3 linked regions of the Notamacropus eugenii genome follow. The protein of the gene in region 1 interacts with the protein of each later gene in a pairwise test. Links are inferred from orthologs where the notes say so. Each region holds a gene or a part of one and is shown on either strand. Other genes may lie near its edges.

Region 1 (7,973 bases):
AGGCAAAAGATCCACTGGAGAGGGAAGGAGAGCTTTCATGACTGTTCACGGACCTGGGTGAATTTTCTATTAAGCAAACTAAAGTCTGTCCCACATTCAAGGTATTGTTAGCCTGAGTCCTTGAAAGAGAGCTGAGGACCCCTTATTTTCACTTTAGAGACCTAGACAAGAGCCACATTCTCATATTTCCAGGGAAATTCTTGGTAGGGGCATGAGCCCAAGGGAAATTCCTGGGAGAAGTCTCCAAGACTCAACCCAGTCCATGTAAATCCAGGGTTGAGTTTTCGGGACATAAGTTATTGGTCCCATGCAACCAATTGTACAGGGGTCACATGACTTTTAAGATTTTTTTTCCTTCTTAAATTAATTTAAATTAAAAAAAATTCATAAATGTCTAAAAAAATAAAGCTTACAGTTATATAACACTTTAAAAATATTTAATATGTGTATTTTACATTGTAAATATGTGTACTTTACATTGAGACTCACACAGCCTTTATGAAGTACTAACAGTAGCTATGATTAGTTAAGTTGTGCCAAGTTATACAGTTACAGTTACTGGCAGAACCAAAAGTTGAACTCAGTTCTTCTGAATTTAAGGTTATACCTTGCAGGCCCAGGGCTATCACTTAAATGCAGGTTAGATTTATTTTTCTGTATACATTTACCCACAATGAAGCTCATTTGCCATTTTTCACTAGCTTGCATAGGCTGATGACCTCTTTACTTTATCCTAGTTCACCAGGGATTTTACTACCTAGAAGGGCTAATATAATTTGTACTTTGAAATTTTACTGTATATGCCCTCTTCTAGAATACTTTCAAAAAGGTTAAAAAAGACTCTTCCTCGTGGAGATCCCTGAAGTACCCATTTTTAACACTTGTCTGTCCAAGAAAGACCTATTTATTTTTAACCTTTGCTTTCAATCAGCTAGTTTTTCAGCCATAATAAAATTCTCCAATCCATCTTGTGGTAATTCAGTTTCTTTCTTTTTCTTTAATGGCTTCGGGTCTGCAATCTTTTCCACAAGACTGAATACCAATCAAATTAATTCAAAACTCTGGATGCACATGTATTATTTCTTATTGGGTAACCTTAATTTAGACAAACGTGAAGGAATACAGAAGAAAAAGTTAATGTCCAAAACGTATATGCGCAAAGACTATTTGGTTGGTAAAAATCTCACTTTTCCTGTGTCCTCTTGAAAAGCTGTAGGAGCCATCCTCTGGAAAATGTCTTTTTGTTATCCATTTTTTTCTGAGCCTCAAACAGAGGACTACTTGGGAGGGCGAGAAACTGAATAAGAATGCCACTAATGTTTGCCTTTTTGATCTGGAAATGCAGATCTTTACTATTCAAACAAATGTATCTAGGCTACACATTTGAATCTACCAGTACTCAATTAAGTTAGAGGAGGGTAGGGAATGGAGGGAGGGTGGATGAGACAGAGAGAGAGATCCAAAACAATGTGGCTCAAGCCACATTGTCCATTTTCAAGTGGAAAAAGACAAATCTTATGTGTACTGGGGTTGGTATCTTTATCTGGGAACAGTTAGTACTTTCAACTTGTTTTATATTATCTCTCCCTTCATTGAAAGCCAGTTTAGAGAATTAGTTTCAGAATTGGAAAGGACTAATTCAACCTATACCTGAAAAAAAGATCCTCACTATAATACACCTGATAATCCAAAGCAGCCCATTCCACTTTTGTATAGCTCTGATTGATTTTTTTCCCCTTCCATCAAGATTAAATTGACCTCCTTGCAATTTCCAACTATTGTTCTAGATTCTCTCTCTGGAGCTAAAGAGAAGTCTAGTCCCCTTTCTATATGACATCTCTTCAAACACTTGAAGCCAGCAGTCATGTTTCTTCACCAATCCCACTTCAAGTCCAAATATTCTCTTTTCCAGGCTGAACATCCCCAGTTCCTTCAACTGTTCTTCATACGGCATTAATTTTAGGTTCTTTAACCATTCTGATTTATATCAGGAAAACCCATAAACAATAGCACAGATGAGGAGAGCAGGGTATGATTTTAGGAAATGTTGAATAATCTGGAGGGGAAATATGTGAAGCACTAATGTGAGACAAACTTGGAGGGGTAGGTTAGAGTCAGATTGTGGAAGACTTTAAATGCCAAGAATAGACTGTATTCAGTTGGCAGTGCCATGATCAGAACTGTGTAATAGAATGTTTAATGTGGAACAATACCTCCAACAACTTCAATAACACTGTTTAGTAGCATCACTGATGTTAAAAAAAAAAGAGACTTTTTAATTTTGTATCAAAATCCTCCAAGACGGAAGTCATCCCAGGACCAGGAGGGAACTAGAGACAGTATCCACTTCATCCACTCTTTTTCAAAACTGTCTGAAAAAGGAGAGGTGTTGTTCTTCCAGAAAATATCCTTAAGTTCCCTATTGTGGGGGAAAACTGAAATGAGCTGCTCACCACTTCAGATAAAAATGAGCGAAAATGATTTTAAAAAAACCCTGAAGCAACCCCCTTCTTACCCCCTGCAAAAAAAAAAAAAATATGTCTTCCTAGTGAACCAGTTCAGTTCTATTGATGGATAAAATTTCTCTTTTCCCATTTTATTGGTAAAGCCTTGATAGCATAGAGAAGTATGGGTATAGGTAAATGGATACCTATATCACAATATTTCGGAGCTGGCCAGGATTTTAATTAATAAGTCCAATGTTCTTATTGTGCAAACAAGAAAATAGAGGCCCAGAGAAATGAAGGGCCTTGTCCAACGTCACACAGTTCTAACTCTGCTACTAACTAGAATTCAGGTAACTTAATTTCTAGTCTAGTACTATCTGCAAAGCATCATGTTGCTCCCAAAAACTAAACAGGAAGGAAGGAAAGAAGGAAGGAAGGAAAGAAGGAAGGAAGGAAGGAAAGAAGGAAATAAGAAGGGAGGAAAGAAGGAAGGAAAGGAAGGGAAGAAGTAAGAAAGAAGGGAGGGAGGATGGAAAGAAAGGGAAAAGAGAAAGAAAGAAGAAAAATAAAGAGCAAGCAGGGAGTTAAAGGAATACTGAGAGAGCTTGGGGGGCACTTGAAAAGAAAGAAAACAGCTGAAATCAACAAAAGGAATCAATCAACAAACATTTATTGAGCACTATCCTAATCCTTTTTTGGGATATCAAGTCTGAGGTCCTTGTTTTCCAGGAGTTAACAGGCTGGTTGGAGATATAAGGTAGAGATATTTGAAATGTTTAAACAGAGGGGGGAAATGAAAAGAAAGTAAGAAAAATATTTTTAAAATCATCAAAAGGAACTACATGACTAATTTCTGGATGAATAGGATAAGGATTAAGTGCGCTAGGAGTTCAGAAGAGGACATCATGGATCTAAGTTTTTAAAAAAGATGTGATTTTGACTGGATCTTGAAGAATAAGTGAAATCTGAAAAAGTGTTCACATTTCAGGCTGGAGGAATGATAGGAGAAACAAAAAGTAAATCAACAGATATTCACTTATCAAGTGCTGATTACATGGGAAGCCCTCTTTAGGTTAGGGATAGGGACTGGATATGTGAATTCATTTATAAAGGGAACTACAAAAAAAAATTAAAGTCCCTACCCTCAAGGAGCTTACATTTTAACAAAAGAGGAGAAAGTTCAAGACAACTTATTTTGCGTACATAACACAGACAAGAGCTGGAAGTGACTTTAGATGCCAGTCGATTTTACAGACCAAGAAGCTGAGACTGAAAAAGATGATTTACTTGTCATTTACCTTTAGTTAGTGTCAGATGAAGCAAAGACTAGAATTTGGGTCACCTAACTTAATGGTTTACTGTTCTTTTCACTTAATCATTAGCTAGAACTTTGGGTCCAAATCTGTAAAATGAGGGAGGTGATAATCACAGTACCACCTTATAGTGAATTGTATATCCCTTTAAAATGTATAAAGTGTTTTCATATTTTCACATTGGTAAACTAATTTAATTAAGGTAAACAGAATAGGAATTACTGATTTAAAACCCATATATATTTAAATAAATTCACAGATGGAGGCAGAAAACTAAGACTCACAAGTTTAGTGACTTGCCTAAGGTCACAGAGCTAGTATAGTAAATGGCAAAATTGAGTCCAAGTCTTAATGGCTCCAAATGATGTCCTTTCCAGACCTCTAAGCCTCTTTGTGCTATAAAATTTTGTCGCTATGAATTTATCTTTTCTCCTCAAAACCAAGTTCTTTACTTGCCTGCTCTATTTCTATCTCCCAGGTACAAAACCTGAATCATCTTACATTCTTCTCTTTCCCTTATCCTCCTCTATAACCAGTCACCAAATCCTCCTGAGTCTTTCTTCACAACTTTCTACATCTTTCCATTGACTATTACCATCTAACTCCAGGGCTTTAACAATTCACAGCCAGACAACCCCCAAGTGGTCTCCTTGCTAGTGGTGTTTCTGCCTTTCTCTCTCCCGTTCATCTTGCTTAAATAAAGCGCACTTTATCAACCCACTCCCCTGCACAAAAACCTTCCATGGCTCCCCACTGCTGCCAGAACAAAGTCCAAACTCCTAGCAAGGGTCAAAGTCCATTTTCCCAGAAATACCTTTTTTCTCCAACTTGCGTCCTTCAGTAAATACACGAATGTTATTTACTGATCAGATCTACTTGGGGAAACCTCTCACAAAAACCTTTCTATTTGGGGAGAAAAAAATCAGCCCAGTATGGGGGCACATTTCCCTTTTTGATGTACTTTCCGTTGAACTTCCCACACTGTCAGGACTCGGATCTCTTTTTCTCTTTTGCCAACATCTGTGTAAGTGGAATCCACAAATCCCTCTCGGGCTCCATCCCTAGAACCAGGGCTGCTCAGTAGCAGGGGCAGGTCTGGGCTGTAAACAGGAAGTTTTTGTATTTCTGGCCACCTTGTGATTGGGCCTGGGGCCGCCTGCCAGGAGACCAAAAAGGAACGGTTAATCCGAAGTACTGGGAGGGTGGGGGAGAGAGAAGGAATCTTGAGTTTGGGGCTCAGCCTGACTCGCGCTGCCAGCGAGGTGCATGTGTCCAGGGCCGGGGTCCTGCCTGCATGCCAGCCTCGCGCTGCACAAAGTGCTGCGGTCGCGCCCCTTTCCAGCGCGAGCGGGACATTTAAAATTTGTTATTCCCCCTTTTAAGTTTCCAGGGCCTCCGGAACCCCATCCCGTGGGGGAGCGCTGTTAAGGGCAAGGGCGGAGAAGGCGCCGGGGTCACCAAGCCCCCTGAGATCCTTCCCTGCCCCCGGTGCCCAGGACCGTCCTTCCCAAGCCCCCAGTCCCCTCCGTCCCTGCCCACTCGGACTGCAGGGAAGGGAAGATGGCTCTTCCCCGGTCCCTGGACTCCTCGGTAAATATCAATCCATCTTCCCGGGCAGGAGGGAGGCGGCGAGGTGGCCTTCGACAGCAACTACAGGTCTGGGGTGGCAGGGCCGAGATCCTGGGCCCTGAGGATCCACCCTCCCCCCACACCCAACCCTTTAGTATCCAGAGCCACCGCCGCCTCCTCCCGCACTGGGGGAAGGGTGCCAGGCGGGGGAGGAGAGCCTTTGGGGGTGACCCTCCCTGCTGGCGCTGCCGAGGTGCACCAGACGGCGAGCTCCCTCCTCCTCCTCCCCCGTGCAGAACCGACGGGTGGGTAGCCCAGTGGGTAGCTCAGGGAAGGGCGGTGGGGCAGGGAGAGTGGAGCGGTGCAGGCCGGAAACCACCCTGCTGCAAAATCGGCCCTCTGGCCCCTCGGGCGGGTGCCCCCGCCCTCCCCGGGGCTGGCTGGCTGGCCGGCCCGGCGCATTCCTCCGGGCCAGTCCGCCCCTGTCCCCGGCGGGCGGCGCACTCTTTGTCCTTGGCCGGCCCAGGCGGGCAGACGCGTGCGCCCCCCGGGTGAAGGGAAGCGCGGGGGGGGCGGGAGAGCGAGCGAGCGAGAAAGCGAGAGAGGGAGAGAGAGAGAGCGAGCGAGCGAACGACGGGAGGGAGCCAGCCCGGGCTGCCGGCGCGCGCCCCACAGCCAGGCAAGCGAGCACGCGCGCCGCCTCCTCCTCCCCCCTCCCCTCCCCCTCCCCTTCCCTCCCAGCTCGCAGGGAACTTGCTGACTGCACCGATCGGGAGGCGAGCGGGGACAGGGGAGGCCGTAGAACTCTCGGATCTCCCCCGTTCCATCTGGGCTCCCGGGGAGCTCGCGCCCTCACACAGCAGCGGCGCCTCCTCCTCCTCCTCCTCCTCCTCCTCCTCCTCTTCCCCGTTCCGTCCCCCACCCCACCCCCACCCCACCCCCGTTTTCTTTTCTCTCCCTCTTTTTTTTTTTTTTTTTTTTTGCAAAGGCGCTGGGCGGCGCCACCCTCCGGCCAGAGCGCCGCACTACACAACCCCCTACGACTTTCAATGTTCCACACTCCCCGGCCAGAGCCTCCTCTGCTTCTTTTTTTTCCTCCCCCCCCCTTCCCCCCTCCCGGCTGCTTCCATTTCCTTAAGGAAGGGTTTTTTTTCTCTCCCTCCCCCACATCTCAGCTGCGTGTAAGCGGGGCAGAACGGCGGTGAAGGTAAAGCTGGAAGGGTTTTTTTGGGGGGGGCGGTGAGGGGTGGGGGGGGCGGCTTGCAGCGGCGGCGGCGGCGGCGGCAGGAGCAGCAGCAGCAGCCGCGGCAGCCGCAGCAGCAGCAGCAGCAGGAGCCGCCGCCGCCGCCGGGGCGAGCTGGGGTTGGTTGGTGGGGGGGGAGGGGGAGGGGGGCCGAGGGAGCTTTGTTCTTGTTTTCGGCGCTCGCCCTGCCGGTCTCCGGGAGCCCGAGGAGCCAGGACTGACTTCACGCATCACTTGGTGCACACACCACGCTGATATTGGAGCGCTGCCTCCTACCATAACAAACCCTCTCCCCGTCCCTCCCCACAAAGGGGGCTGCAAAGCTGCATTGCCGCCGCCGCCGCCGCTGCAATTTCCTATCGAAAGCTTTTCTTTTTCTCTCTTTTGCAAATTCTGTTCGGAGTTCTTTTGGGGGCGGGGGGGCTTTTTTTTTTTTTGGCCAAAATGTCGGTCTGTAATATCAAAACCGAGCCAGGAACGGTGGCGTTGGGAGCTTTGCAGAAGGTGCAGTTTGAATTTTGCTTTTCGCTGTGGAGCAGCCCTGTGGTGGCCAAATGAATCTTTGCTGCTGGCCGTGCCAACCAAGGAGGCTGCTTTTTAGCCTCCCCCCCTTTTTTCCTTGGGGAAGGGGGGGAGGTACAGCGCTTAAAGGCTTAAGTGCCAAGAGAAAGGGGTTGTTGCCACGTTTAGGAAGCATAGGGGTGATTAGCAGGACGTGTTTTTCCTTCAGAGAGGGAATTTGGTAGCTCTGACCCACGTAAATGTGTAAATATTTAGACGTTATTAGTAACTTTGTAACATTTTTCAGCGAGGTCTGTTATTTACAATGTGTCAGATGTTATTAATGTTCATTGCTTAAGTTCCCTGGCAGATCTGTTTCGTGCCTTCTGAGAAAGTAGACAATTGATAGATTGTCCAAGGGACGAAAAAAATTCTGAGTGGGTTTTCCAAGTTGAGTTCTGTAAATCTTTAAATATTGGCATTCTGGTACATACATCACCTCCCTCTGTAACCTTGCAGTAACAATGAGATAAGTGTATAGACACTTTAAAAGGCTTATCATTTAAAAGACAGATTTTAGGAAATATTTTGCAGAAAGGAATGATGTGGAATTTGTTCTTCAGGTTTAACGCCCTTTTTTCTTTTCTTTTTTTTAAAAGTTTTCAGAGAAATAACTTGACCAAGATGTCCAGTGATAGGCAAAGGTCAGATGATGAAAGTCCAAGTACCAGCAGTGGCAGTTCAGATGCAGATCAGAGGGACCCAGCAGCACCAGAACCTGAGGAACAAGAAGAAAGAAAACCATCTGCCACCCAGCAGAAAAAGAACACCAAACTCTCTAGCAAAACCACTGCTAAGTTATCTACTAGTGCTAAAAGGTAATACCTATGAGAGGTGACT
Region 2 (7,144 bases), on another chromosome or scaffold:
CATTTTATTGAAATAACTAAAAAAAGGAGGCATATCTCCCCATCAAAATTCTGTGATATATATAAAATGAACATTTTCCTCTCTACCCTAGAACATACCAAATTGTCAACTTCTACCACTCACCTGTATCTACTATTTTTTCCCATCCTCCAACTTGTCCCAATCATTCTTCTCTCCTAGAGTTGCTCTTCATCTTTCTTCTAGGCCTATTCCTCACCAATTTTTTCATACACCTCCTCATGGATCATTCAATCCCCACTCTTTCACAGGACTTGATTTGGGATGAGGATGGATGCCACCCTGCTTCTTTTCAGGAAGGCCTAATAGATAAAGCCAGCAAAAAGTAACATCATGTTAAAAGGTGTGCACTTTGCCTTCCGTTCGGACTCAAATGATTCACAAAGTGCTCCACTGCTCTTTGGATACATTTTATCTTAACATCCTCCTAACACTGGGGATCTAATCATCTTGGTGCACACATTTAAAGAGTTGCAAATATGTAGCACCCACATTCAACAGTACCAATGGTAATGCCTATTAGGCCCAAGGTATTACCCTTTGAAAACAAGAAAAATTGTCAAACAAAACTCCCAATTAGTTAGCAGTGACTAGAGGACTAGAGATTCTCTAACATGGATCACCCCAGCACATTCCAGAAACACATTCTACTCCATTCCACCAAGTCCATCAAAAAGTATTTATTGTCTACTACGTGCTGCTACATATTGTGCTAAGCAGTGGGGATTTAAAAAAAACTTTAAAGCTCAGTAAGCTTGATCTTTTCAATAACTCATTCTGCCTTTATCCTTCCTTCTCTCCTCCAGTATCCAAATTACGTAACTATCTCAGGTCCATATTCCCTTATACCTAATTCACAGCTTACTGCCAAAAACTATCTACAAAACTCTCTACTAAATACAATCCGATGGCCAAAATATCTTTCTTCCATTAGGTCAACAATAATGTAAACAAAATCTGACAACAAATCTCAAGCAGAATGATTTTAATGATCAATCTTAGCCCTGTAAAAGAAATGAGGAAAGCACCTCCCTTTAAAAAAGTTGGGAGACTATAGGAATGGAATGTTGCATACCTGTTCAGAAGTGTCAATCATTATGTTCATTTGCTTAATTGGTTTTCTTTGTTTCAAGGTAGGGTTTAGGGGGAAAATAACTGACACAAAAATTTGGATCATATACAATAATAAAATGTTTTTAAAAAAATGCATCTTCTCATCTTGCCTGCCTATAAAAAATATAATGCTCAACCTATAACAAATCCTATACTCACTTTTTACTTTCTTCCTGACCTATATGGGGAACATACATCCTATAGTCTATCGCACATCATAGGTCTCTTTTTGTGCCTAATACCAGGAAAACTCTCTATATAGCCCAAAGAAAGCAAGACTTACCAGCAAACAAACGAATGTCTAACATTACACCTTCTCCTGACTCATTTTCTCTAGCTACTATTAGATACTGGTTTTTTTGGGGGGGTGGGGGGAGGAGGGAAAAGGAGGATAAACAGTATATAGTATGTCTATGAAGCCTAGAAATAAATGATATTAAAGAAAAGGACGCTGGATTCTTTACAAATTCTATATCCATTAGTAGAACCAATTTCCTACGTATCTGAGTTCATTAAGGTCCCCAATGGGGTAAACTAGCATTCATTTTTTTCATCCCTAGCACCTAATATGATATACTTGGGCTTAATAAGTATTTATTGATTTGCACTAAATGGAGGATAAATTAGCACAGGCCATTTCTGTGTCATCCTTTCCTCATCAACCAGGAGATGAATTAAGTTTTCATATTATTCTACCTCTAAGGCACCCAGTTCTAAGACCTTCTCTTGCCATGTTCATAAAACATCTAAGAGCTGAGAGGTTTACTTACCTAGGGAAGAGTTGTAGTCTCTGTAGCTTAGGAGCCAAGACTGAACAGGGCATTAGGATGGGAAAAGGGAAGGACCACCCAGCCCTGAAGGAAGAAAGGGAAAGGAGGAAAACGGTCAGATATTTGGAGAGGGAAGGGTCTATGGAGGGGAGCCAAAAACAAAACTCTTCCTACAGATACTGACTCTGTGCGTGGTGAAACAGATTCTCTTCCTCCTCTGAAAGTGTCAGTGGATGACGGGCAAACTTTGTGGGAACCCACATTCTGCTTCTCCCCATCTTTGGGGGACCCTAACTTTACTACTCTTTTCTTCCAAGCATTGACCACAACTCTGTCCCCAGACCACCCTTATTTCCTCTCTCCAGCTCTGCCTAACATGACACTGCCAGGAGGGGTAAGGAAAACAAGGCCTCTGACTGGCAGGAAGGGTGGTGGTGACCCCAAAGAGAGGCATGAGCAGAGTATCTCGGACTGCTGTGATGGAGTGGAGGATGTCTATGACATCATTAAGTTGGGTAAGCATGAGGATGAGGAGGATTAAGAATGAAGTATGGCAGAGGGGAGACACTAAGGCAATGCAGCTAGACCACGCTGGACGCCCTGACATCACCAGGGCAGAGGTGACGTTGGCTCCAGCCCCCCAAGCAGGAGGAGGAAGGCGATTGTTACGTGCTGGGGGTGGCAGTGACGTAGTAACAGGGCGCGGGGACGCTGGAACGCAGAGCTGAAGCTGGCCAGGGAGAAAAGGGTAGCACAAGTCGGAGGGAGGGGGAAGGTATTCCCACTTACCTCCCCCAGGTCCAGATCCGGGGGTCCGGGGTACCGGAGCCGCCGAGGCCACTGCCTCCTCCTCCAGCCCCCGAAAGATACACACAATACACACCGGAAGCGGAATCTACGCTCCACGAGTCCCACCCCGGGCTGAAGCCTCGGTGCCCACAGCCGGCCGGGGGGAGGAGCCCGTGATGCCATCGCCAACAAGCCGTGGATATAAACTAGGCTCAACCCCGATCAGCTGGGGCGAGAAGGGATTAAGGAGAAGGGGGTTTGGGCCGTCGCGCTGCACGCGCCCAATGGACCCGCGAGGCCATCGCGAAAAGGGCGGAAGGAGGGGGGCGTTGGGGACGCACGCCTGCGCACAGGCCACAGGAGCTGCCGAAGTCTCCGAGAGGGGCGGGTGGTGGCCAGGGTGGGCGGGGCTTCGGAGCGCAGGCGCCCCGGAGCTACCTGAGGCCACAGAGAAGCGGGCGCGGGCTAGAGCGGTCGTGGTGACGGGGTGTTAAGCCCAGGTGGCCGCTGGCGCCCTCTTCAGCGGACCCGGGACCGGGGCGAGGTGAGTCTGGGTCTTCGGATGGGAAAGCTGAACGACCACACCCCATGTTCTGGGCCTGGGAAGGGAACCTAGAGAGAAGCTAGGGCAGGACCCCCGGCGGTACGGTGGCTGGCTGTGCCCATTTCTCCTCGAGTCCGTGGAGGGAAAGATTAACCCAAATCAAAACTAAAATGGGAATTACAGTACTAGTTCAGTTCACTGGGGTGTCACAAGAAAAGCGAGGTTTTGCTTAAAAGGGCTTTATAGGAACAGAATAGTAAGAAGGCTCCCTCCCCTCTTCTATTAGGTTACAGCTGGTAGGTAGACGTGTTTCGAAGTTGGGGGAAAGAGGCTGCGTGGCCTCAGTGCACTTGAACTCTCGAGACCCCGGTTCCATTCCCGAACCCGACCTCCCCTTTGCTAACATCTCGTGTGAGATGTTCTTCCACGTCTGTAATCCTGGGAATGGGGAAGTTTGCAGTCTTGGGAACTCCAAGGGGGAGAAGGGCAGCAAGAACTGGTTCTCGAGCAGGATACTTGACCCCATGTGGGAGAATTCACAGGACTACGGTGGCAAAACTGATGTGGCCAGAAAGGTGTTGCTACTAAACTTGTAAAGAGTGATGACGACCACATCCTTAGATACCGATCAGTGCTACTTAGCTTAAGCTGAGAAAATTCCAAAAGTTTCCTTAAGCTTATCTGAAAAATTTTCAGAACTGAACACCAGCTCTCCTTAGTTTTGTACTGCATCTGCAACTCATATCTTGAAAGTCCTATCACATTTTTGGTAGAGGTTTCACCTGAACTACTTTGCCAAGAGCCTTCGAATTGGTCTTCCTACCAATAGTCTTTTCCTTCTTGGGTTCTTCCTTTACAGGATGATCTTCTAGATACACAACCATAGTAACCACGGCCTCTTTCTTCCTAGTCTTATTTTGTACTTCGGACACTATCCACGTTTCAACCAAACTGGACTTTTAGCTGTTCCGCAAGACATCCAGGACCCACACTCTTCCTGGAATTCCACCCTGCTCCCCCATACCTGAGATTATCTTCCAGCACTTCTCTTCCCTTTGAAATCCTCAACCTTCAAGGTCTAGATCACTTGCCTCCCCAGTCAGGGAGGGTATGTGAGTCTTCAAACAAATAAAGAGAGAAAATGCATGTGTGTTGCCTCATTGGCTAATCTGAATGTTTGACTGTTACAAGATTGTGTTCGTCCTTCTTTGTTGAAGAAGACCATGCCATCAGAGAAATGATGACATGACTTGCACTTGACTTTGTTTTGAGTGAGGGAGGGCTGTGCAGGTCACCAGCCTCACTTCTTCTCCAGAGCCATCTGAATCCAGTGACCTGATATTCCTCAGGATGACTGGAGATAACCCAGGATGCAGTGGGAGGCCTTGGGCACTTTAGGCTAAGGTCTTTGCAGACACTCACTTAGGGTGAGGCTATGCTCATTCATTGAATAGGCTTGTTTAAGAGGTAGGCAGGGCATAGCCCCATTAATGAGGTCAAGAAAAAGAAAGACATCAGGCTGGGTGGGAACTAGCAACAGTTACTATTGATAATCACTGTAAAGCTAGGAGAGTCCAGAGGAGCTCTTAGGCAGGGGCCCATTGGAGTCCCAGTTTCAGAGTGCAGTAGGTTTAAAGTTGTCATGACCGGACAAGACAAGCAACAGAATGGAAGGGAAGGAAAGGAGCCAGTAAAACTCAAGTCAACTGGGCATCTTTTGGCCATCCAAATTTACCTTCCTTTGGAGAGAAGAAGGTAGGGGAGGGGCAGGCAGACAGGAGAAGAGCAGTTGAGTTACTCACCTAGCTGGGTCCCCATTCAGCCAGCTGCATCTACTTACAAGGTTGTGTTTGTCCTTCGTTGTCGAAGAAGACCACCATTTCTCTGATGGCATGGTCAGCTGTTACAAGAAAGTAATAGCCGAATGTAGAAAAACAACACCTACTATACTAAATAGTTAGAGGCTGGTGTAGTTGGCACGGTGTATATAGTGCCTTTCCTAGAGTTCAAATTCGTCCTCGGATAACTTAGCTGTGTGAACCTGGGCAAATCACTTAACCTTATTTGCCACAGTTCCTCATCTGTAAAATGAGCTGGAGAAGGAAATGGAAAAACACAAGAGGAGTCCAAATGGGGTGATGAGAGTCAGACAGATTGAACAAGATACTCAAAACTGACTATATGAAAGGTGAATTTTAGTGTAAGGTGGATTTTAGTGTGTGTAAAGTGAATTTTTGCTATTATTTCTCAGAGTTCAGTTTCCCAGGATCCATAGCCATAACAGTCAACAATTCCCAAGTCCTAGATATGAGTTCCCACAGTTATGGTTCAAAACATCTCCACCGCGCCTGCACATAGTTATATAATGATAATATAGACATTCACTGCAGCTGCACTGTGAGATACATTTTGGCTGTTGCTAACAATATGCCTTCTTTGTTGGCCTATAAAATAGGTGGTCACTAGATAGTGAATGGGGAACCCTTAGGGTTGAATGCACAAATGCTGTGTGTGGCTCAACTGACCCCACTGAGGTTTGGTGGGGCAACACTTAGGGTTGAGTGCACTGGAATGCTGTGCTGCCTTGATTGGCCCCCATCAAGGCTTGGGGGGAATCTGTGTTTGCCTCAACTGGCTCCCATTGAGGCTTGAGGGGATTTAGGGGAAACACAAGTTGTGCCTTTCTGAATTGACCCTATTGAGATGTAGGGGTAGTTGCCTCCCCCCCTTCTCACCATCCCCTGTGAGAAGGGTGATTAGGGAATGCTGTAGGAGTTTGTGCTCTGGTTATCAGCAATCCTCTTCTGAGAAAACTAGACTAAAGTAAGATTATTAATCCCTTTTTAGTATTTCCTGTCTGACCAAATCAAGAGTGAACCCGTGCTAGCAGTCCTCAAGTATCCTGTGTTTATCTGTCTTACACTGACATTTTATATAGCATCCTACAGTTTGTAAAGCCTTTTACACAGATTATCTCATTTAAACTTCATAACAACCCCCCTAAGGGACGTGATAAACACTGATTATGGCCAACAAAAATTTCCCTAGCTGGAAATGATTTTTTTCCCCCTCAGATCTTAGAGTGCTTGTCCTGGGTCTCTGCTTTTTTTCTCCTTGTACTTTACCTGTTTGTGCATCCATCTCACCCCCTCCCCCAATACTGTAAATTCCTTTAGGGTAAGTTCTTTGTTTTTCATGGCTGTACATAATATATATATATATATATATATATATATATACACATATGTATATGTGCACACACAGAGTATATGTATATATATATGAAATTAGATATCTGTATATATAATACATACATATTTCTTCTTGCTGTCCTTCAAGGTTTAGCTTAGAGGTATCACAAAGGTGAAACCTTTTAGGATCTCCCCAGTTGTTACACTTTCTTTTCTCAGTTTATCTTGTACATGCTTATTTATATAAATATTGTATCTCCCTAGGAAAATAAGAATTGAGGGCAGAGAGTATTGTTTTTGTCACAGTATCGACAGAGACTAGCATCAGACCTTGCAAGAGAAATGTATTTACTAAATGTTTGTTGTACTGAATGAAAGTTCAGCAGTTCTCAACGATGAGGTAGAAAGGAGTATTAGAGGCAGATAGAGCAAGCAGGATGTTGAGATATGAGACAAGATACAGGATGTGACTACCCAGAAAAGTGATTAAAGAACACTGTGCATTGAAGCCCCACACTGTGGCCTTACCTGTGTGCCTTCACAAAGTACCCGAAATAACCTAACCTGACAGAACAACTTGTCCCCTACTCTTCCCTGTTCCCTTTGCTTATCTGTATAGACTCCAGAGCAGCACCCCTCCTCCCTCTTTCCTGTTCTCCTTGCTTATCTGTGCACCTCCAGACTAAGTGATATTCCAGGCTTTCCAGAGCCATACTTGC
Region 3 (7,230 bases), on another chromosome or scaffold:
TCCACCCTCCCTTCAGACTGCTAAGTCAATTTGTCTCCCACATTCTTCCTTTGCAGCATTTGGGCTTCAGCCCTTTCAAGGGACATCCATCTCCCACTCCAGCTCCCAACAAAAGGGAATATAAGAAGTGCAGAATGTTTTCATGACCCCCAAAAAAGTCGAAGTAATGACAAATCCCTTACCATAGTTAAATATATTTTCATAAAATCATCGTGTATTTTTACCATAATTTTTAAGATAAAAAAAAAAGGCATAGACAACCTGTTCCTCAGGAACCTGATCAATCAAAGCAGCCCCTTTCCTCAGGCTGAGGGAGGATAGAGTATCCAAGCACACAGTAGGGGCAAACAGCTCTCTTTTCCTACCTCTTACTTCCTTATAACTGTCACTTGTTACAACAGAAATGAGGAAACACGTGGAGTATGGAGGGGCCCTGGTCTTGATCAGTGTGGAAGCTGAGCAGACACCAAATTTCAACCTGTCTCTTACTAGGCATTTACTAGGTCCTTTGCTGGGGATGGGGACTAAAAGAAGTATTCTACTTTACCATGAGGCCTCCCTGCCTACATAGGCACTCTCCTCTGTTCTAGCTCCTCTGCTTCCTTCCTCTTTTGTCTCCTACTAACTTAGTTTCCCTGCTTGGGAAGCAAGCAGAAATACTCTATCAGTCAACTGTTCCATGGAACTTAAAATTATCCAAAATGTTGCTTCTGCCAGGCCCTCTTTATCCTCCTCCCTCCTCCATGGGGTGTTCTGGGGTAGAGGTTCCAAGAGTTATGAAGAAAAGTCCCAGGATCTTTGGGGGGAACCTAGAGGCCACAGGAAAAGGGAAGTAGAGTCCAAGCTGGAGCAGGGGACAGATCAAAGTCCTTTATATCAGGAGAAACCACATGGGGGGGGGGGAAGAATGGAGATGGGGGAAATAAATAGAATGGGAAGCTGAGGAGGACAGAATCCAGACATCCCCTTTGGAAGGTGAATGTATGGTAAGGGCTGGGAGAACTGAAGCTCATGGGGGTGTGGCATGGTAGGGACCCCTCAGATCCCCATTCCTGGAGCCATGTCCTCCTGGTCCTCAGGCACCTTTGAGGCTCCTCAACCACTGAGAAAGAGCTTCTTGTAAGCTTTGTTCATCTGCTCCAGGAAAATAAAGGTGAGGACAGTATGGGGGCCAAGCCGGGCATAGTAGGGAGTGAATCCCTTCCAGAGGCTGAAGAATCCTTCATATCGAATGACCTTCACCAGCACATCCTGTCAAGGAACAAGGGGTGGGCTTGGAGGATGAGAGGAACACCAACCTCTCCCCACCTACACAGTTCCAACCAAAGGACCCAAATATGAAGATTCCCAGGCCTAGGTCCACGGATGAATACAGATCAGATGTTTTACATAATATTAGCTTATTATAAAGAAGAGATAGGTGAATAACTTCTCTGAATTCCCCAAATTCTTACCAGTCCATTCTTATACTCAGGCTTCCCATCAATCATTCGCATATTCTGGATCCTGAGGTGAATACAAGGAGGGGTAAATAACAGGTTAGAGCTGTGGGGAAAGCTGGGGCCTAGGTGGGATGGAATGAGACCAAGGCTTACAATCTTTGATGATAGATTTAAAATAAGAATAGCCCTTTAAAGTTTTCTAGTTTCATTTTACCATATTACAAATAGAGAAAAATGAAGAAAAGAGACCAGGTCTTCTTGACTCCAAGTCCAGAGCTCAAAAAATAGTATGGTTTGCTGTCCTACTGAGCTACCATTTCCTCCATCTGAACAATGTTAAGTGCATATGTGAAAACCCAGACATCCTTCCCCCTTTCTCTTAGAGACTCTGAGCCCACCTGGTTTTAACAATGTCCACAGGCATAGAGGCTGCTGTGGTGACCAGCCCACTGATCATACTGGCGCAGAAATGACAGAAGATGTTGTCAGAGAAGTAACCTATAGTGGCAGGGGAAAAAGATGTGTCAGTTTAAATCCTTGGAATGACTGGAGCACGAAGGACTGGGGACCAGATGCTCAGGTGGGTGGGGAAGGTCTGGGGCTCACCCGAATCCAAGAGAAACTGTTTAGACTGTGAATAGGAAGCAAGCTGGGCGGCATTGACAACAACAGCTCTAGCCATGGTAGGGATACAACCCTAGCATTAAGAGAAAAAGGAATGTGTCAGCCCCCTACTTCCTTTTGGACCCCCTCCCCTTTCCATGCTCCCCCCTAATCATCAAGCCTCTTCCACTCACCCTCCAAAGGGTAGGGACCCCCTCTTCCCGGGTAATCCTCAAGAGTGCATCAAAAACATTCTTGTAGCCTCTACGCTGATCCGGGGGCAACCTGCAGAAAGTGAGTAATGGTGAAAATGGGAGAGGATGACAGGAGAGAGGATCTGGAAAGAGCTAAGGTCATGAAGGAAAAAACCAAGAGTTACCAACTGATAATGCCATTCTCTTTGCATTACAAAGAATCACAGCACTTCAGAGCCAAAAAGTCAATTCCCTCATTTTACCAGTTCAGAGAAATAAACTGACTTGCCCCAAAATTGGAGGGGAAGTAGTGAAACTAGAACTTGTGCCTCCTGATTGCTAATTGACTGGTTTTTTTCAGGCTAATGGCCCAGAGAGAGGATGGGGTCCTAGGTCCTTAGGGAGGATTTAGGCATGACTCACCGACCATCAGCAGTCATTCGAATCAGGGCAACTTCAGCAGGTGTTCCCACAAAGGCTCCTGTAGCACCTGCTGTCATGCCAATCACAGCCTTCAGCAAGAAGCCAGGGGGTGTCCCATCTGCCCCAGTCAGGCGCTCAAAGAGAACAGTGTAAATGCCAAGGCGAGTTGTTGTGTAGGTTGCCTGGCGAAGGAGCCCGGCAGACAGCCTGATGGAAGGTGAAAGCAGGTCAGGCACTCCAGAATCAAAGCCCAATGGGAAAGGGAAAACCCCTTCCCTGGCCCTTCCTTCTCATAGTTTGGAGAGAAGGGCTGGGCATGGTGCCACACAGCTGCTAGTCCTCATGCCTCACCTACAGTGCCTGCCCCCTTCCTTTCCCCAAAGGCCCAGACCTCTAACTCCCAGGTCCCCAGTCCTAGAATTACCCTGTGTAGATGCCCCTTAGCCCTTCATTCCTCAGGATGCTGGTGAGGGCGTGGAAGCTGGTCTTGTATTCACGGGTCTTGGCCCCTTCCCCACTCAGCTGCATTCGGTTCTTCACCAGGTCTAGAGGCTGCACAAAAACAGTGGCCCCCATCCTGAGGTGGGGGAAGAAGGGGGCTCAGAGACGGACCCTCACAATCTCCATCCCGGGTGCCTCGGGTGCTCAGACGGGCACCACGTAAAAGTGGACGGGCCATGGGTGCCAACCGAGGTCCGAATTCGGGTTAAGTGTTCACGCAACTTTCCAGAGATTGGCTGGGCCAGGCCAGGGGGTCGCGCTGCGCTCGGGGCGGCACGGCGGGTTGCAATGACCCGGGGATCTGCAGGCCCGAAGGCCAGAGAAGGGATGGAGGTGTGACGGGGGCTCCGTGAAGGAGGGCCACACGTCAGGCAGTCCGGGGCCACCGTGCAATGGGGGCCGTGCGGCGCAGGGGCGGCGGGGGGGGGATGGGCCGGGAGCAACGTCCGCGCTGCCCCGAGGCCGCCCCCGAGTGCAGCCTCGTCGGTCCGGAGAAGCGCTTAGCTTCCAGCCCGGGCCGGTAGATGGGTGGGGAGGAGAACGCTTACCCGGCCAGGCCCCCGAACAAGAACTTGACCGATTTGGGGGACGTGCGGGGCTTCAAAGTCACCTCGCTGCCCCCCGGAGGTGCCGCCGCCGCCGCCGCCATCTCCACTAATGCCCAGCTACACCAGGGAGTCGCGAGCGCGCGCCCCCCCCACGCACCCAAGGTGACACTGCGTGCGCGCGCACGCGTCCTTGCGTGAGCTCTCTCCACCAGCCCAGACAGCCCAGACAGCCCCGCCTCCTCCCCAAACCCCGGGGTCAGCCCCATCACCACTTCAGCGGGAGGTTGGCACGCAGGCGCACAAAGAGGCGACCGGAGAGAGGACGGAACCAGAATAGTGAAGCGCAGGAATGGAGGCGGAGCTTAGAGGATAATGTTGGGAGTGGGAGTGGGTTTGAGGTTCGTGGAGAGGGTCGTGAATAAAGGGAGAGAGACAGAGAGAGAGAGATCGAACGGGGTAAACCGAAACAAACGTGCGGATACCACATGGGCATCATTAGTACGGAGGCCCCGGGGCATGAGAGAAAGTGGGGGAAATCTCGTGAGATCTAGGAAGCCGGGGAGTGACGAGGAAGATTCTCGCGACAATTGGCTTTAGTGTTTGGAGGACGGGGGAAGTGAGGAAGATCTCGCGAGACTTAAATGAACCTGAGGTAGCGGCGGCGGCGCCAGCAGCCCTGGGAGGGAGTAGAGGTTTGTAAACTGGGAATCACCGGGGGCAGCGGGAGCGGAAATCTTCCCAGTAGAATGGGAAGGACTTTGCAGGAGGTTTCTTTGGGCACCTAGGCTTCCTCCACATGTGCAGCTGTCCTTGTCGCCCTCATTTTCTGCTTTAACCCGCTGGCCCACTTTTGATGTCCCCTGGGCCCAGGTGTCGGGGGCCGGAAGTCCCTTTTAAGGGGTAAGGCGGGGGGATCCTGCAGGTCCGGAAGTGCTCCTTGTGGCTTCTTTCCTTTACCGGAAGTTCCTCTTATCATTGGGTTCCCCCCCTTTTACCCACAAACCACAAAACTTGAGTGGACCTAGAGACCCCTACTGCCCCACCTGGTTCAGAACTGTCATCTCCCCATCTCTCCTCTCCCCCCTCCCGCCCAATACCATGGGGAGTTCGGGCTGGGTGAAAGATTAGATTACTTGGCCGGGGTGGGATACATTTGGGGTTTGTGGGGTGGGCGTGGGGCGCTCGAACAGAACTCCGTTCTCTTTTTGGCTGCAGGACCCCGTCCTCCCCAACCTGCGGCTGCTGCTGCCACCATGCGTCCTGAGGCCTTTCCGTTCCCTGTGCTAATGGTCACCGTGCTATGGGGGATCACCCCCACTTGGGGGCTCATCCGAGCCGTGAGTCTGGGGACCTGGGCCCAGGGTGAGCTGAGCTTAGGACAACAGGTTCCCTACGCAAAGTGGATCCCCAACCTTTTCTTACTCCGTGGGTGTTAGGAATAATACTAGATTGGGAACCAAAGGACCTGAACTCTCCAGCAGTTACTACCATTGTGTTAATTACTTCCCACCTTTGGGCCTCAAGTTTTTTCATTTGCTAAATGAGAGGTTTGGACTAATTCCCCTTCCAGTTCTAAATTATATATATCCAATATTAGAATTGGTGAAGGGAGAGGAAGGGAGGGAGCAGGGTTTCAGCGGGGACAAAGGGAAGCAGTAAGTCTTATGTTCCCAGACTTCGGACCACAATAGCAGCATGGACTTTGAAGATCTTCCAGCCCTATTTGGGGCTTCCCTGAGCCAAGAAGGGCTCCTGGTAAGTTGCTTATCCTCTGGAAGTTTGGATCAAGGGGGTAAGAAGGGCTAGGTGAACAGTAAGCTTAGTGATATAATGGGAAAAGGACTGCAACTCTACTGAAAAGTTCTAGTTTAGAAACCTGAATTTGTTACTTTGCACCTGTGACATTGGGCAAATCACTTCTGTGACTCAGTATTCTCATCTGTAAAGTGAAAGGGTTAGACTAGGTCAGGGGTTCTTAACTTGGGGTTCATGAATTTTTTTCTCATATTTTGATGACTTTACCATTGAATCTTTTTGTAATTTTATGCATTTCATTTTATTCATTTTAAAAACATTGTTCTGAGAAGGCTTCACCAGACTTTCAAAAGATCCGAGACACAAAATTAAGCCCTAAAATACGTGATCAACAAGGTGCTTTTCCATATTTTATAGTTAGAACTATATAGCAGCATATCAGAACTTTATGGCGGAATATATTTAATTGGTGCTAGATTGGAGAGATTGATGGTTTGTATGTGGGAGAGGGAAGAGAGTTTATAACTGAAGATTACTTCCTATGAGAGTGAATAGTATTTCAAGGTAAATATCCTGAGCAAAAGCTTATCTTGAAGAAAGCTTGGAGTCAGATGGTTGTGAAGCGTGGAGAGCAGGGTACACTAGAGGCTAAAGTGGGAGAAGAAAGTAGTTGTTAGGGGAGAGGGTTCTCAACTGTGGAGGAATCTTACTGGAGAGTTTGGGATCATTATTCTAAAGAAACTTTGGTTTAGAATTGGATGTTTCTAATTAACTTGTGTCTCTTGCTGCCTGGAGGAGATAAAGGGTAGGGATTTTTGGATCCATGGAGGCAGGAAGAGCACCTAATCTTATTCCCTCCCCCCAGGGGTTCCTAGTTGAGGCTCATCCTGCCAATGCCTGTAGTCCTATCAATCCTCCACCTCTTGCTCCTGCCAATGGTTCTGCCTTTATTGCCCTGCTTCGGAGATTTGACTGCAACTTTGATCTCAAGGTGGGGAATGGGAATGGGGATTGTGGAAGGAATTTAGAGTGATTGGGTGGTTGTTACCGTGACTCCCCTTCATCCTCTCAGGTTCTAAATGCCCAAAAGGCTGGGTACAGAGCAGCTATAGTCTACAATGTGAATTCCAATGAACTTTTGAACATGGTGTGGAATAGTGGTAAGAGTTGGGTACCTGAGCACCCAAGTCCTTGGGGTGGGGGGAGGTGAGAGGAGGTGGGGATGCCTGAGTCCCTGGTATGACAGTCCCATTCCTGCAGAGGAAATTCAGCAGCAGATCTGGATCCCATCAGTGTTTGTGGGAGAGACAAGCTCAGAGTACCTGCGCTCCCTCTATGTCTACGACAAGGGGTATGATTTGTCTTCCCTGTCCTCAATCCTGATTCATATCTGGTGTGTTCCTAATCTCCTTTTCCCACCCGATCTTTTCATTCACTATTTTCCTCTCCACCTTGTGTCTCTCCTTCCCCCCCCCCCATAATTATTCTTTTATCTCAGTCTGGCATACCATGTGAGTCACAAAACTTTGCTAGGAAGGGCACAGGACTCATGAGTTTGCTTAAGCTCTATGGCTGTAGCATGTCTGTCTGAGCCTGTTTCCTCATTTGTAAAATAGAAGTAGGCAACTTGTATTGCCTATGCCACGGGTTTGTTGTGAGGAAGTTTTGTAAACCATAAAGTGTTAGAGAAATATGAGCTTTTGTGCTTGAGTTTTTATTTCCCTTCCTTTTCCCATGCCTCCAGTCCTTGAATGCCCCTTATTG

The links.
Region 2: the proteins of UBE2E3 (region 1) and TRIM39 interact in binary tests that used the Homo sapiens proteins (3 or more experiments, as listed by UniProt). The link is inferred for Notamacropus eugenii from reciprocal best matches to the Homo sapiens genes UBE2E3 and TRIM39.
Region 3: the proteins of UBE2E3 (region 1) and RNF167 interact in a two-hybrid assay, tested with the Homo sapiens proteins (2 studies listed by BioGRID and IntAct). The link is inferred for Notamacropus eugenii from reciprocal best matches to the Homo sapiens genes UBE2E3 and RNF167.

Annotation. Positions count from the first base shown.
Region 1 is NC_092876.1:244,823,272-244,831,244, forward strand, and holds the start of UBE2E3 (ubiquitin-conjugating enzyme E2 E3), read left to right. Parts: upstream 1-4,956; 5' UTR 4,957-5,350; intron 5,351-5,447; exon of another isoform or gene 5,448-5,634; intron 5,635-5,641; exon of another isoform or gene 5,642-6,008; intron 6,009-6,044; exon of another isoform or gene 6,045-6,536; intron 6,537-6,578; exon of another isoform or gene 6,579-6,691; intron 6,692-6,710; exon of another isoform or gene 6,711-7,076; intron 7,077-7,099; exon of another isoform or gene 7,100-7,337; intron 7,338-7,732; 5' UTR 7,733-7,757; coding exon 7,758-7,951; intron 7,952-7,973. UniProt on the Homo sapiens protein: Accepts ubiquitin from the E1 complex and catalyzes its covalent attachment to other proteins. In vitro catalyzes 'Lys-11'- and 'Lys-48'-, as well as 'Lys-63'-linked polyubiquitination.
Region 2 is NC_092873.1:84,399,273-84,406,416, reverse strand, and holds the start of TRIM39 (E3 ubiquitin-protein ligase TRIM39), read right to left. Parts: upstream 3,003-7,144; 5' UTR 2,691-3,002; intron 2,484-2,690; exon of another isoform or gene 2,086-2,483; intron 1,986-2,085; 5' UTR 1,902-1,985; intron 321-1,901; exon of another isoform or gene 124-320; intron 1-123.
Region 3 is NC_092873.1:79,355,500-79,362,729, forward strand, and holds the start of RNF167 (E3 ubiquitin-protein ligase RNF167), read left to right. Parts: upstream 1-4,228; 5' UTR 4,229-4,403; exon of another isoform or gene 4,404-4,611; intron 4,612-4,926; 5' UTR 4,927-4,964; coding exon 4,965-5,048; exon of another isoform or gene 5,049-5,073; intron 5,074-5,385; coding exon 5,386-5,466; intron 5,467-6,331; coding exon 6,332-6,457; intron 6,458-6,538; coding exon 6,539-6,626; intron 6,627-6,726; coding exon 6,727-6,817; intron 6,818-7,230. Other genes in the region: SLC25A11 (mitochondrial 2-oxoglutarate/malate carrier protein), read right to left, coding at 1,096-1,251, 1,455-1,506, 1,841-1,940, 2,049-2,139, 2,240-2,330, 2,663-2,869, 3,087-3,239, 3,712-3,977.